Linked DNA regions of Macaca fascicularis. The protein of the gene in region 3 purifies or fractionates together with the protein of the main gene of each other region. This does not show direct contact. Links are inferred from orthologs where the notes say so. Each region holds a gene or a part of one and is shown on either strand. Other genes may lie near its edges. The genes, in order: CD36, SKAP1 and FYN.

What was found.
Region 1: the proteins of FYN (region 3) and CD36 purify together in Homo sapiens (affinity purification with western blotting; 3 studies listed by BioGRID). This does not show direct contact. The link is inferred for Macaca fascicularis from reciprocal best matches to the Homo sapiens genes FYN and CD36.
Region 2: the proteins of FYN (region 3) and SKAP1 purify together in Homo sapiens (affinity purification with western blotting; 3 studies listed by BioGRID and IntAct, with this or other methods). This does not show direct contact. The link is inferred for Macaca fascicularis from reciprocal best matches to the Homo sapiens genes FYN and SKAP1.

What each region holds. Positions count from the first base shown.
Region 1 is NC_088377.1:140,878,452-140,883,539, reverse strand, and holds the start of CD36 (platelet glycoprotein 4), read left to right. Parts: upstream 1-1,910; 5' UTR 1,911-2,017; intron 2,018-5,088.
Region 2 is NC_088390.1:58,534,442-58,538,792, forward strand, and holds part of SKAP1 (src kinase-associated phosphoprotein 1), read left to right. Parts: intron 1-458; coding exon 459-536; intron 537-2,030; coding exon 2,031-2,114; intron 2,115-4,351. UniProt on the Homo sapiens protein: Positively regulates T-cell receptor signaling by enhancing the MAP kinase pathway. Required for optimal conjugation between T-cells and antigen-presenting cells by promoting the clustering of integrin ITGAL on the surface of T-cells.
Region 3 is NC_088378.1:15,757,008-15,761,358, reverse strand, and holds part of FYN (tyrosine-protein kinase Fyn), read left to right. Parts: intron 1-3,143; coding exon 3,144-3,247; intron 3,248-4,214; coding exon 4,215-4,351. UniProt on the Homo sapiens protein: Non-receptor tyrosine-protein kinase that plays a role in many biological processes including regulation of cell growth and survival, cell adhesion, integrin-mediated signaling, cytoskeletal remodeling, cell motility, immune response and axon guidance.

The DNA.
Region 1 (5,088 bases), on a different chromosome or scaffold from region 3:
CTATTTTTAACTCTATAATTTCTCTACAGTCTAAGGCTCATTTCCATTCATATTTCTCCTGCTTTTGTTCAGACAGTTCATCCCTGACTTACTATAGTAACATATTAACTGGTTTCATATTTTCTTATAGTTCCTGTTCAATATGTTTAAAATATATTATTATTGATTCACATGGAGTATTTAACACACAGTGATTTCACCAAAGCCACATGGACACACTTGTGATTTACAATAATTTTGAGGACGGAAGATTATTAGATTGTCTGATCAAAGGATCACCATTTCTTCCACGCACAAAAAAATTAAGGTATTGAGAAATATAAACTTTTTTAAATAACCTTAGATAAATTTCCCAATGAACGTTGTATTCCAGAAACCAAAGTCATTTGTGTTGTTATTATAGTTTCCACTTGGCAGTGAATGGGTTAAAGATCACTTTCTAAAAGCAAGTCTTACTAAAAATTAGAGCAGAAGGCCGTAAAGACTTAGAGGCATGTAAAGATATGGAAAGGAAGACACGAAATAGGAGCAATTGGGCAGAATAATAAACTGGTGTCATAACTGACAACAGTAAATGTCCAGTTTACTGAGAAGTGGCCTTCCTACCACTCATTTTCTTCTGAAACCAATTGATCTTATTTATTGTTACACTCTTCTCATCATCTTCCTTCACTACGACACTCCTTCAGTGTCCTTGGAGAAAAGCACATCTATGGTTTTGCTTGCATTAACAGTTTTCCAAGTAACTCACAAGTGAAGAATATCATAAGTTAACTGCACGTGTTCAGACACATACCTTGGGGAAGACACACACACACACACACACAAACACACACACACACATCATTCATGCAGGCTGCCACATTGAAAACTTGCTTGACTTGGCTTCTCAATTCAGCCAGCAGCAGTTTGTCTTACTACTTACTGCATTATCCAGCTCTTGCATAACTTCTAGTCTCTTTTCAGGTCACCATCCCAGAGCTTCTTGTAGGGTTGGCTGAGACCTTGTTAGAATTCTCCATAAGTATCCTGTTGTGACACTAACAGGAAATTCTAACACCACACTCCCTCTCTAGTCACATTAAGCATCTTAGCCTCACAGATATACATTTTTTGTCTGCACTCTAGGATGCTGGACAAACTGTTCCCTATGCCTTGTACTTCCTCACTGCCTTAAACTCCCCCAATTTAGACAGCCCTTTCTAATCTTTCAAGTGGCGGCTTTGACGTCTTATCCTCTTAAAATAAAAAATTTAAAACCCTCTCTTCTACCCTAGACTAGGTCAAATATTCTCTTATGTTTTCCCCTAAAACTCTTGGCTTACCATGCTAATAACATTCATGAATACATAAAACTGAGTAATTTAATTTTTAACTCTTCAAACTTAGGCTCCAAAAGGACTAGAAATGTTAAATATTATTCACCATTGTAGTGGTGGATCTTGATATAATGCCTGACATATCAGAGACATTCAAATTTTTTTGAAAGAATGAGTGGTTTCTGTGTTGAAATGAGTATTCTTTTTGCTCTCTTGAAAAAATAAAGTTGTTGCTTTGAATGTGGTTAGACATGGCCCTAAGATATGAACATTAACTTTTTGGAATGTTTTTCTCTTGAAATTATTGATTTAATAGAATTGTATGGCTCTGCCTCTGTCAAAATAGAACAAGTCATACTTGCATTAACAAACAATGTCAAAACTCAGTGACTTGAAATAATGATTTATTTCTTGCTCACTGCTATAGTCTAAATATTTATGTACCCCAAATTGTATATGTTGAAACCTAATCCCCAAAGCAAGAGTATTTGGAGTTGGAGCCTTGGGAGGTATTTAGGTCATGAGGGCGGAGCCTTCATGAATGGCCTTAGTGCCTTTACAAAAGAGGCTCCAGGGTGATTCTTTGCCCCTATTACCAGGTGAAGACACAGCAAGAAGCCTTCTTTTACGAGGAAGTGACCTTACCAGACATCAAATCCGCCTGTGCCCTGATTTTGGGGTCCCCAGCTTCCAGAACTGTGAGGATTAGATGTTTGCTCTTTATAAATCTACCAGGTTTTGGTGTTTTTTTTTTTTTATAGCAACCAGAATGGATTAAGACATATTATACGTGAATACAATTACATGGAGAGTATTCTTAGAATGAGGAGGACAGAATGCTGATGATAGAGTATTGGGGAATAATTAAAAAGTAAATAAGAAATTATGTGTATTTAAGTGTAATTACATCAGAAATGCGTTTATATACAGTTATGTGAACAAAAGTAAATAATTGGGTGTTTCATAATATTTGCATATCCAACCTATTGCCATTAATGAAATTCTTCTATAAAACTAAGTAATTTATCTTTTGCATTATTTAACTATTTTCTCAAAAGAAGTGATTATTTATTTAAATTTCCAGTGATCATCTAGAATAAACCCATATAAAAGGATATAGTCTTTTTATGTATATGCATTAGTGAAAATGGAAATCTTTCTCACAGGAGGCTTTGATGACAGTTTGTAAATTGCTTGCAAGTTACTATATTTATTTCAGGTTTTATGTTTTAGATTAGTGCTAGTCAAATTCTAAAACCTTTTTTATTTTTTGAAATATTTCTTTATTACCAGTTTTTTCCAGATATTTGTGGACTTGTCTTCCTAACTGATGTGCTAGTATTCTCTAGATTATTTCTCACAGGTAAAGACAAAGTCTTACTTTCAGAATTTTATTGTTAATGCTTTTAACTACTGAGAATGCAGATTATAGCATTGTGTTAAATGACAATATGAATCATCTCCTACTATTGCTCAACTCTTTTCTAGTTTAGCCTTGACTTTCTTCTTCTGTAGGCAATATTCTCAAGGCAGGACCAATTCTGCTAATGAGTAGAATAGGCAGATTGATAGATAGCTGATAGAATGTAAGTGATTTCAAATTTCTCCACAAACTTGTCCCAGTGTCTCACATTCCCACATTAGCTATACTTCTAAAAATTAGCTATTTGGGCACTTTTACAAAGTTAACTCATTAAATAAATGTGTTTGTTTGGTTTCTCTATGTTATTGGTTTCTCTATGTTACTACCCTCTTTTCACTTTTTATTTCTCAGAATTTTAAAGAACAGTGTCACATTGTTGAGCTATTTTAAAGCTGTAAATAGAAAGGAAAGGAAGAGAGAGGCTTCAGTCACAGGCCAAAAGCTATTAGCACAGCTGAAATCAATCACTGTCTTTCTTGTTCCATAGGAATTACTACTCAAGGGACAGTCAGAAAGGGTCAAGGAAAGCTATTTTTCTTCCCACGATTTGGAAATACATCTTCTTTCCTATGATGAAAGCGATGTGGGGTGTGTGTGTGTGTGTATGTGTGTGTATATATATACACACATATATATATACACATATATATACACACACATATATATATACACACACACAGAATTATATTGTATCAATTTATATATATATATATATATATATATATATATATATTCCTCATTCTTACTCCTGATTTCATTCACTTATTTCAGCATCTTCCAATAATTCATCTCTCTAATCGATAAAAAGTAAATGGTGGTAGAAGCCACTCTATTCCACTGAAATTATTACCACACTGCTTGGGTAAGATTATATGTCTCCTGAATTGAACTGAGGACTTCCTGAGTAGAGTGATTCTGTTTTTTTTAAAAACTTTCATAGTACCTGGCACATCAAGGCCTTCAATAAGACTTATTAGAGTAATGAATGGACATATGAATTGATGAGAATACTTTAAAACATTATATAGTTGTAAAAGAGATTTCTGAAAGTCGTAGAAAATCTGTTCTTTTGAGTGGTTTTAAAGATTTAAAATCGATTTCCCAATAAACAGATGGTTCAAAATACTCAGATAAATTCACAAGATTGTTGTGAGTAATCAATAAGGTAATAATTAATAAAAATAAACAAGCAACAGAAATAAATAAATTTTAAATAATAAATGTTTTAATATAGGTTAACAAAGTATTTATCTGTGAAAGATACTACATGCTCAATAAATGAACTGCCCTTAAAAAAAGTGTTTTCCAAGATCTCAACAAATAAGCCATGATATGCCAACTATAAAGTACAGATAATCTGCTGACCAATTCCATCAAGCAAATCACATCCACATTAATACAAGTAGACCATAAGGGAGGCACCAAAAATCTCACATGGGAAGATTAATCACACTTTCCGGGAGGCTTTTGTGTATAAAGGTTGATTTGAGGTCTTCTTTTTTGAAGGGACATCACAGTAGCTTCAGAATTATATGACTGATGAGTTTCTGACTGAATCAATCCACCTTGGATCTGCTATGTTATTTTATTTGTTTTTATTCCTCTGTCCAGTTACTTCTTTAACATGACTATATTTAGTTTTAACTGTCCTCATTTCATCAACTCTGGGGCCCTTAAACACGGTTGAAACTATCTTTGTAAACAAATGCAAAAAGTATTTATGAACATGCTCTTTCGCTTTTCTTCAAAGGCATAAAAAACCCTTACGGTGCAGACTAGTATTAGATCTCTAAGAGAAAAATGCAAAGGAATCACATGAAAGATAATATTTAGTTAAAAATTCAGTTTTGTTTAGGACACCAAAGGATTCCAAAACCTTAAGCTAATTCACCCTCAATCAGTGATTTAGTCATTCTTATATAAATAGTTGTAGACAGATAAGAATAAAAATGATTCTGTTTTTGCTAACATTTGCTTGAAATTTTTGCAGAGAAATCCCAAGTTGTTCATTTATATCCTTTTGAATACTCCTGACCATAAATTTTCTTGCATTTTATTCTCTTATTAGGCAATGGGCATGCAGAGCACAATACTTGGGCATTATTGGACTGATAAGTATCTGTAAAACATTTTCTTTCCTTGATGAAATCTGCAATTTGCCTATAGCCTGATTTCCTTAAGGCTTTTGCCTATTGACTCATCTTTGACAACCAGCCAAAAGGAATTTCAAGACAAACACAAAGTGAAGAGTCACAGTCAGCTTTTTCTACACTCTTGGGAAAGCCTTTCTGGGTATGAAGTTATTCTTGATTTCATTTAGCTAAAATCCATAGAAAACTGTATGGA
Region 2 (4,351 bases), on a different chromosome or scaffold from region 3:
CTGTAATCCCAGCACTTTGGGAGGCCGAGGTGGGCGGATCACTTGGGGTCAGGAGTTCAAGACCAGCCTGGCCAGCATGGTGAAACCTCATCTCTACTAAAAATACAAAAAACATTAGCCAGGTGTAGCGGCGCATGCCTGTAGTCTCAGCTACCTGGGAGGCTGAGACACAAGAATGGCTTGAACCTGGGAGGCAGAGGTTGCAGTGAGCCATGATAGAACCATCACACTCCAGCCTGGGTGACAGAGCAAGACTCTGTCTCAAAAAAAAAAAAAAAGAAAGAAAAAGCAAGAAAATTTACTTTTCCTTCCAATCATATAGAAATTGTTTTATTTTGTACTGTGTTTAAGCAATTGCCCTTGTGTACTCTGTTATTAATGTGAATTATCTAAAGTAGCCTAAATAAATGAAAATTTTGCCAGGTTTCAATAAAGCACTTTGCCATTGGTCCTTTTAGGAATGGAAGACATCGTAAAAGGAGCTCAAGAACTTGATAACATAATCAAGCAAGGATACTTGGAGAAGAAAAGCAAAGGTAATGGTCAGACCCACAGATTTCAGAACATTCCAGGAAGGGAAGGGAAGTGAGGAAAAAGAAAGCTAACATATTGGGTGCCTTCTCTGTGCCCGGTACTGTGCTAGGCAGATACAAGGCAAAAGTAATGCAAGGAAAGGAAAGGAATCTGGTGTTTGTGTGTAGGCTAAAGAGAGATGTCCCAGCCTTGAGTAGACCATAAGCTTCATCAAGATAGGGATGGTTATATCCTGCTCACCTCTCTATCCCCAGTGCCTGGTATGTGACAGGTGCTTAATAAAACTTATTGAATCAATGAATGGTGTTCTTGTCCTTATCTCTCAGTGTGCTCCCACTGGGTAGTTTTTATATCATATGTGAAGCAGCCTACTTTCAAATTTCAGACAAGCCCAACTCTTTTGTTTTTTGTTTTTGTTGTTGTTGTTGTTGTTTGAGACTGAGTCTCGCTCTGTAGTGCCATGGGTGTGATCCTGGCTCACTGCAACCTCCACCTCCTGGTTCAAGTGATTCTGCTGTCTCAGCCTCCCGAGTAGCTGGGACTACAGGTGTGCACCACTATGCCCAGCTAATTTTTTGTATTTTTAGCAGAGATAGGATTTCATCATGTTGGCCAGGCTGGTCTTAAACTCCTGGCCTCAACTGATCTGCCTGCCTCAGTCTCCCAAAGTGCTGGGATTACAGGCATAAGCCACCACACCCGGCCTTTTTTATTTACTTATTATTTTTTTAAGATGGGATCTCCCTCTATTACCAAGGCTGGAATACAGTAGTACCATCATAGCTCACTGCAGCCTCCAATCCTGGCTCAAGCAATTGCTCCCACTTCAGCCTCTCAAAGAGCTGGGACAACAGGTGCACAACTGTGCCTGGATATTTTATTATTTTTTATGGAGACAAGGCCTCACTTTGTTGCCTAGGCTAGTCTCAAACTCCTGGCTTTAAGCATACCTTCCATCTCAGCCTCCCAAAGTGCTGGGATTACAGACCTGAGCCACCACTTCTGCCTTCAAACCCAACTCTTGACCTTTAACTCATTTAATTAGAATAGGTACCACTAGAGTTGGCATCTCAGGTTTAACACTCAACAGGCAAATTGGCTCAGCACAAAAAAAAAAAAAAAAAAAAAGCTCTTTCATGGCCATGGCCTGGAGAATCATTTTTCTTTGTCAAAGGCAACACATAAAGATATAATGGAGAATTTGAAAATGTACAAGATGAGATAAGAACCCAAAAGATATAAAGGAGGCTAGATAAAAAGACAGCTGTGGGGCACAGAGCAGGCACCCCTGTTTAGAACTTGGACCTTTAACTGAGCTAGTCCCCCGGACCCTGAGTCAATATGGGATAACCTGTGGGAGTGAAAAGGAGGGTTTTACAGTCCATTAACCTGGGAAATAAAACAATAACACACTGGACTGTATGTTGTTGGATTTTACAGACTCTTCAGTGATGGTAGTTACCTGAATTTATGTCCCCTACTGCTGTTCTGTTTAGATCATAGTTTCTTTGGATCGGAGTGGCAGAAGCGATGGTGTGTTGTCAGCAGAGGTCTCTTCTACTACTATGCTAATGAGAAGAGTAAGTGTTCTTCATTTACACAGCAGCATCTCACTCCTGGATGCAAACACTTCGTAAATTCTCAAGCACTTAGATCTCAAGATAGCAGTCCTTAACTAATACCCATAAAGGGACATGCTTAGGAAAGAAATAGGCATGGGCAAATAATACCTTGCCCATCACCGAAAAAGCAGAACCCAATTTAGAAATTATTTCACATTTAAACACTAAGAGTGTGGTCAGCACATCAAAGGGTTATCTTTTATTATGATTAGCAATACATTATCAAAGTTGAATGTTTTGATTTAAAAAATAAAAATAAAAAGAACTTCAAACTCTTTACAGGTATCAATACCATAGCTAAAATATTGAAATAAATTAATTCTGAGAAAGACTTAAAGAACTTAAACAATGGCCCAGAAATTGAACCCCCTAAGGGCATGCTCCCAGCTTTATCCTAATGACTACTAGGAAGTAAGTAGTCCAGTGAACATTCCTATAGCCATAGAATATTGAGACCCAAATGGTTGCTGTACCCAAGGCACGCCCTTCAGCCAGATGACAGCAGCAGTGAAGTGTTGACTCAGGCCAGAGATAGTTTCTTAATGAGCCACCACTGACTTAATCAAGTCAACACTCATGAGCTAACCCTAGAAGACCTCCCATCCATGTTTAACGTAATTGATTGATTTATGAAAAGGAATAGAGGATATAAGCACAATAGGAGGCAATTACAAATAAATACAAGCTAAAAATTATTACTATAGATGAATGCAAACTTTCGAATAGGGGATACACTTCTACAGAGTTGGACTGCCCCAGGAGTAATTCTAAGAAACAAGAGGGAGACAAAATTTAAAAAACGTCAATTCTTGGCTGGGCGCGGTGGCTCACGCCTGTAATCCCAGCACTTTGGGAGGCTGAGGTGGGCGGATCACAAGGTCAGGAGATGGAGACCATCCTGGCTAACACAGTGAAACCCCATCTCTACTAAAAATGCAAAAAATTAGCCAGGCGTGGTGATGAGCGCCTGTAGTCCCAGCTACTCAGGAGGCGTGAACCCGGGAGGCGGAGGTTGCGCTGAGATCGCGCCACTGCACTGCAGCCTGGGTGACAGAGCAAGACTCTGTCTCAAAAAAAAAGCATCAATTCTTGTTGGGGCTTTCTTGTGCTGTGCACCTTCGAACAGAGGCCAGCGATACAGATTGAGTAGAGCCTTTTTTTTTCCTTGCAGTCATTTTCTGTTTCTCCTTTCTTATTCCTTCCTCAAACTTAGTCCTCTCCCAGTGCCTGGATATCCAATGTAGGGAATAATCAGACACCCACCCAGTTGCCTTTGTACTTCCTGCACCTGCAGTACTAAGGTAGTAGAAAGAACTACAGCCTCGGGCCAGGCACAGTGGCTCACGTCTGTAATCCCAGCACTTTGGGTGGCCAAGGCAGGCAGATCATGAGGTCAGGAGTTCAAGACCAACCTGGCCAACACAGTGAAACCCCGTCTCTACTACTAAAAATACAAAAATTAGCCAGGCATGGTGGCAGGTGCCTGTAGGCTGAGACAGGAGAATCGCTTGAACCCAGGAGGTGGAGGTTGTGGTGAGCCGAGATCACGCCACTGCACTCCACCCTGGGCAACAGAACGAGACTCTTTCTTTTTTTTTTTTTTTTTTTTTTTTTTTGAGACGGAGTCTCACGCTGTTGCCCAGGCTGGAGTGCAGTGGCGCGATCTCGGCTCACTGCAAGCTCCGCCTCCCGGGTTCCCGCCATTCTCCTGCCTCAGCCTCCTGAGTAGCTGGGACTACAGGCGCCCGCCACCGCGCCCGGCTAATTTTTTGTATTTTTAGTAGAGACGGGGTTTCACTGTGGTCTCGATCTCCTGACCTTGTGATCCGCCCGCCTCGGCCTCCCAAAGTGCTGGGATTACAGGCTTGAGCCACCGCGCCCGGCTGAGACTCTTTCTTAAAACACTGAATCTTTGCTAAGTTACTTGAAATCCTTCAGATTTGCCCTTGGGCTTGGTAGCAATTGCCTCATGCTGCCTCCCTGCCTGCAGTAGTTATCACAGACCTTTGCCTAGCTTTCACCATCCTACATCCCTCAGAACCTTTCCCATCTAGGGGCAAAGGCTAAAGCCCTGTTTGGAAAGGATAACAGCATAGTTTGTAAACTGAGCTACAAGTCCCATGTGTCCTTCCAACCCCCAACCCGCTCTCAAACCCAGCAACCACAATTTCTCCTCTAAATTATAGGCATACAAC
Region 3 (4,351 bases):
CACTCCCAAGGGGAAGAACTGCCAGTGGCTGTTTGCCAGCTCTGACTTGTGAACTGAGGGAAGGAGAGATGGAGCCATGATTTCCCAAATGCAGGAACTTGGCCTCCTCCTGACACCTTGGGTCTCGCCTCTCTAGAAAGAGAGTTGAGAAAAGTCAGTCACCAAGCCCAACTTTTGGCTCCGATATTTAATTTCACCATGGATTTGTTTAAGCAGCGCAAGGGGGATTAAACTCCACACCCTAGCCAAATCCCCAGTTGGATTGTTCTCTTCTTTAATTCCCTTGTATTCCCTCTAAGAGGATCTGTTTTGTTTCTCACTCTCAAATACTCAGTGGTTCTTAGTTGTTGTTTTCTCCCAGTGACTGTGTTTCATCATCAGTGAATCAAGATATTTGTCTTTAATTTGTATTTTAGGGCAGATTTGCAAAAATCTTTGTGTTCTTTCAGAATAAAAAGTACCACCAAAATGTAGCATTACCCTGATTTAACTGGGAATTTGTCAGTTATATATTTAAGTTATTTTTATAATGGTCAACTTTTTAAATATTTTGTTTTTAAACAGTATTATTTTTTAAAATAATGCCTTTGGTTTTACATGTGTAATTAACTATTATTATCTTAAAATACTATTGTTTTGGTGCAATCCATTGTTCTAACAATTCTTTTTTCACCACTGTCTTACACGGCATTCTAATTGGGTTATGGGTACAAACCCAGAAAGCCGTTTCTCACAAATAATTGGCGTAATAGTCTTTACACCACCTAGTGCTAGATTAAGGATTGTTGCACATTTTGGTGTTTCTAAAACTCACTGAGGAGCTAACACGCCGTGTCTCTTTTCTTCAGTGAAGCTTAATTCACAAAAGAATTTGACAGTGAACTCATAATACCTATATTCAGGCATAGTGAATTGAAATTTCATTTTAGAATCTGGATTCTTTCACAGTTAAATATTCTAAAAATGGTTCCCACACACACATTCCAATTGAATGCTCCAGCATTCTCCCTTGGGTTTGGGGAGCACCTGCTGCTCATTCAGCACCTAGTGCTGAAATAGTAACTAACTGCCAGGCTTGGTTAAGGCTTGAGAATGTAGGGGGAGGATATAAGGCAAATAACAAAAGTCTTGAGGTGACTTAATGTGATGCCTCCTGAAGTGGCACAGAGTATCATTAGTTTGTTCAGGGATAATATATTGAAATATCTGCAACACCAAGTCATTTTAAGGGCACGCTTATTGACTGAGCACAGATCTCAAAGGTGTACAGTAACCAGTCCTTACAGTTGTGCCAAGGAAAAGATGTACAGGGCCAACCGTGATGGCTCCCTCCTGTAATCCCAGCACTTGGGAGGCCAAGGCGAGAGGATCAGTTGAGCCCGGGAGTTTGAGACCATCCTGGGCAACATAGGGAGACAGTCTGACTCTGTCCCCCGGCTAGAGTGCAGTGGCCCTGTCTCTGCTCACTGCCACCTCCACATCCCTGGTTCAAGCAATTCTCATGCCCCAGCCTCCCAAATAGCTGAGATTACAGGCACATGCCACCATGCCCAGCTAATTGTTTATATTTTCATTAGAGTTGGGGTTTCACCATGTTGGCCAGGCTGGTTTCGAACTCCTGACCTCAGGTGATCTGCCTGCCTCAGCCTCCCAAAGTGCTGGAATTACAAGCATGAGCCACAACTCCCAGCCTCTACAAAAAAATTTTTTTAATTAGCTGGTGTGATGATGTGTACCTATTGTCCCAGGAGGCTGAGGTTGGAAGATTGCTTGAGCCTGGGGAGGTCAAGCAGTGAGCTGTGGTTATGCCACTGCACTCCAGCCTGGGTGACAGAGTGAGACCCTGTCTCAAGAAAAAAACAGAAAAAGAGGAAGAAGAAGATAATGATGTACACAGATCACAATCCAGGTGCTGGCAAATGCCTTTACTTATCCAAGTCCTCACACCTGGGGGAAAGCAAAATACAAATAAGTACTCACGGGCATTTTTCTCAGAATTCTTATAGGTAGGAAGTTACTGAAAATACTATTCCTTTATTCATATCATATCTATCTATTCTGACTTTTTTTAATGCTTGTTAATTATCTTCATATACATTGAGGCTGTGTTTTGTTATTTCCCAGCAGTTAATAATGCTCAGATATCAAGAGATTCAAGAGTTTTGTTTTTTTGTTTGTTTTTGAGACAGAGCCTCACTCTGTCACCCAGGCTGGAGTGCAGTGGCACGATCTTGGCTCACTGCAACCTCCACCTGCCAGGTTCAAGCGATCCTCCTGCCTCAGTCTCCCAAGTAGCTGGGGTTACAGGCTCATACCACCACGCCCAGCTAATTTTTTGCATTTTTAGTAGAGACGGGGTTTCACAGTGTTAGCCAGGATTGTTGTCTCCATCTCCTGACCTCATGATCCACCCGCCTTGGCCTCTCAAACTGCTGGGATTACAGGTGTGAGCCACCATGCTTGGCCTTTTTTTTTTTTTTTTTTTTTTTTTGGAGACACAGCCTTGTTCTGTCACCCGGCTGGAGTACAATGGCACGATCTCAGCTCACTGCAACCTGGGTCTCCCAGGTTCAAGCAATTCTTCTGCCTCAGCTTCCCGAGTACCTGGAATTACAGGTGCCCACCACCACACCTAGCTAATTTTTGTATTTTTAGTAGAGATGAGGTTTCGCCATGTTGGCCAGGCTGGTCTCAAACTCCTGACCTCAGGTGATCTGCCCGCCTCGGCCTCCCAAAGCGCTGGGATTACAGGCGTGAGCCACCATGCCCAGACTAGAGTCTTTTAAATAAGTGTGGAGAGGGTCTCATGCAGTTGCCATTTCAAATCAAGGTCTTAGATTTCTGGGTTTTTTTGCATACAGGTGGCGGTTTTAACACAAACCAGTTCTGGTCACGTCTGGAGGGGAGGAAAACAACCCACAATTCAAATCTGATTTTTTTAAAAGAGTGAAAGAGATGAATTAGGGATAGAATCCAGGATAGATTGGAAAGGAACTGAATTAAGCTAGAAAAAATACGTACAGGGAAAGGCTAAGGACTAAATCGGAGGTGAGGGGAATTCATGGGCAAAAAAGAAAGCCTATGCTGTTGCATTTTGTAAATGACTATTACGAAGTATTTTCTTTCCTTGATCTCATTTAAAGGTGGTACTTTGGAAAACTTGGCCGAAAAGATGCTGAGCGACAGCTATTGTCCTTTGGAAACCCAAGAGGTACCTTTCTTATCCGCGAGAGTGAAACCACCAAAGGTAAGATAACGAGTTGAAGAAGTTGGCTTGTCATTCAAATCTGTGGATTAGTCAGAGGGGATGAAAGGCTTATCTGTAATGTACAAGGTTTTTAAAATGGCACATATCCTCCCTGCCTTATGAGTGGAGTCCTGTTTTCAGTCTTGCCTCCAGGCTCTAGAACTGCAGACAGCACCAAAAGAACTACAGAGGCTCCAAATCAAGACCTTCCTCCTGAAACAGGCTGGGGGCGGCTTTACTGCTCCGGGCACACAAGATCATAGAATTTTCAGAAGTCCTTTAGAATTTCGATTTTCTGAAACTCTTAGTTCCTCGGGTGCCAGTCATATGGGTTGTTTTTGCTTTCCTTTTGTTTTTAAATAACTGAGGACTTCACTTCTCTTCCTCCAACTGTTGGACTTTTCATTATTTAACCACTCATTACAGCCCACAAGAGGAGATAGGTCAAGGAAGAAAAGAGTAGGGGCCTCTAGCTTAATCCACCAGATTCTCTGTTCCTGTGGAAAGTGTTGTAAAACAGAAGCTTGGAGCTCACTTCTAGAGAAAAAAGCCTTAGATTTCTTTTGCACATGCTGCCGCTACCTCCCAGTATGCCCCTGGGTAGAGAAGACAGGGGAAGCAAACTCAGCCGTGCATCGTGGTCCTTCTCTCTACCCTGGAGGGAAGGAGTGTCGGAATTGAGTCTACGCTGTATTATACAACAAGGGTGACTGAGCAGTGTGTTTAAGAAAAATATCCAGGAAGCTTTCAGTCTCAAGTGCAGAATTATTTTACTGCTAATATCTTCTGACATTTGCAGGACATCAAGAAGCATCTTCTTCCTGTTACTGAGTGGAGATGCTGTGTGTGTGTGTACATGTGTGTGTGTATCCTTGGTAATTATTAATCAGAGTCAAGAAAATGAGGCCTAAAAAGCAAGCTAATAGTCTAAATGACTGGAGCTGCTAATGCTTTGCTTGTTTACCAGGTGCCTATTCACTTTCCATCCGCGATTGGGATGATATGAAAGGAGACCACGTCAAACATTATAAAATTCGCAAACTTGACAACGGTGGATACTACATTACCACCCGGGCCCAGTTTGAAACCCTTCAGCAGCTTGTA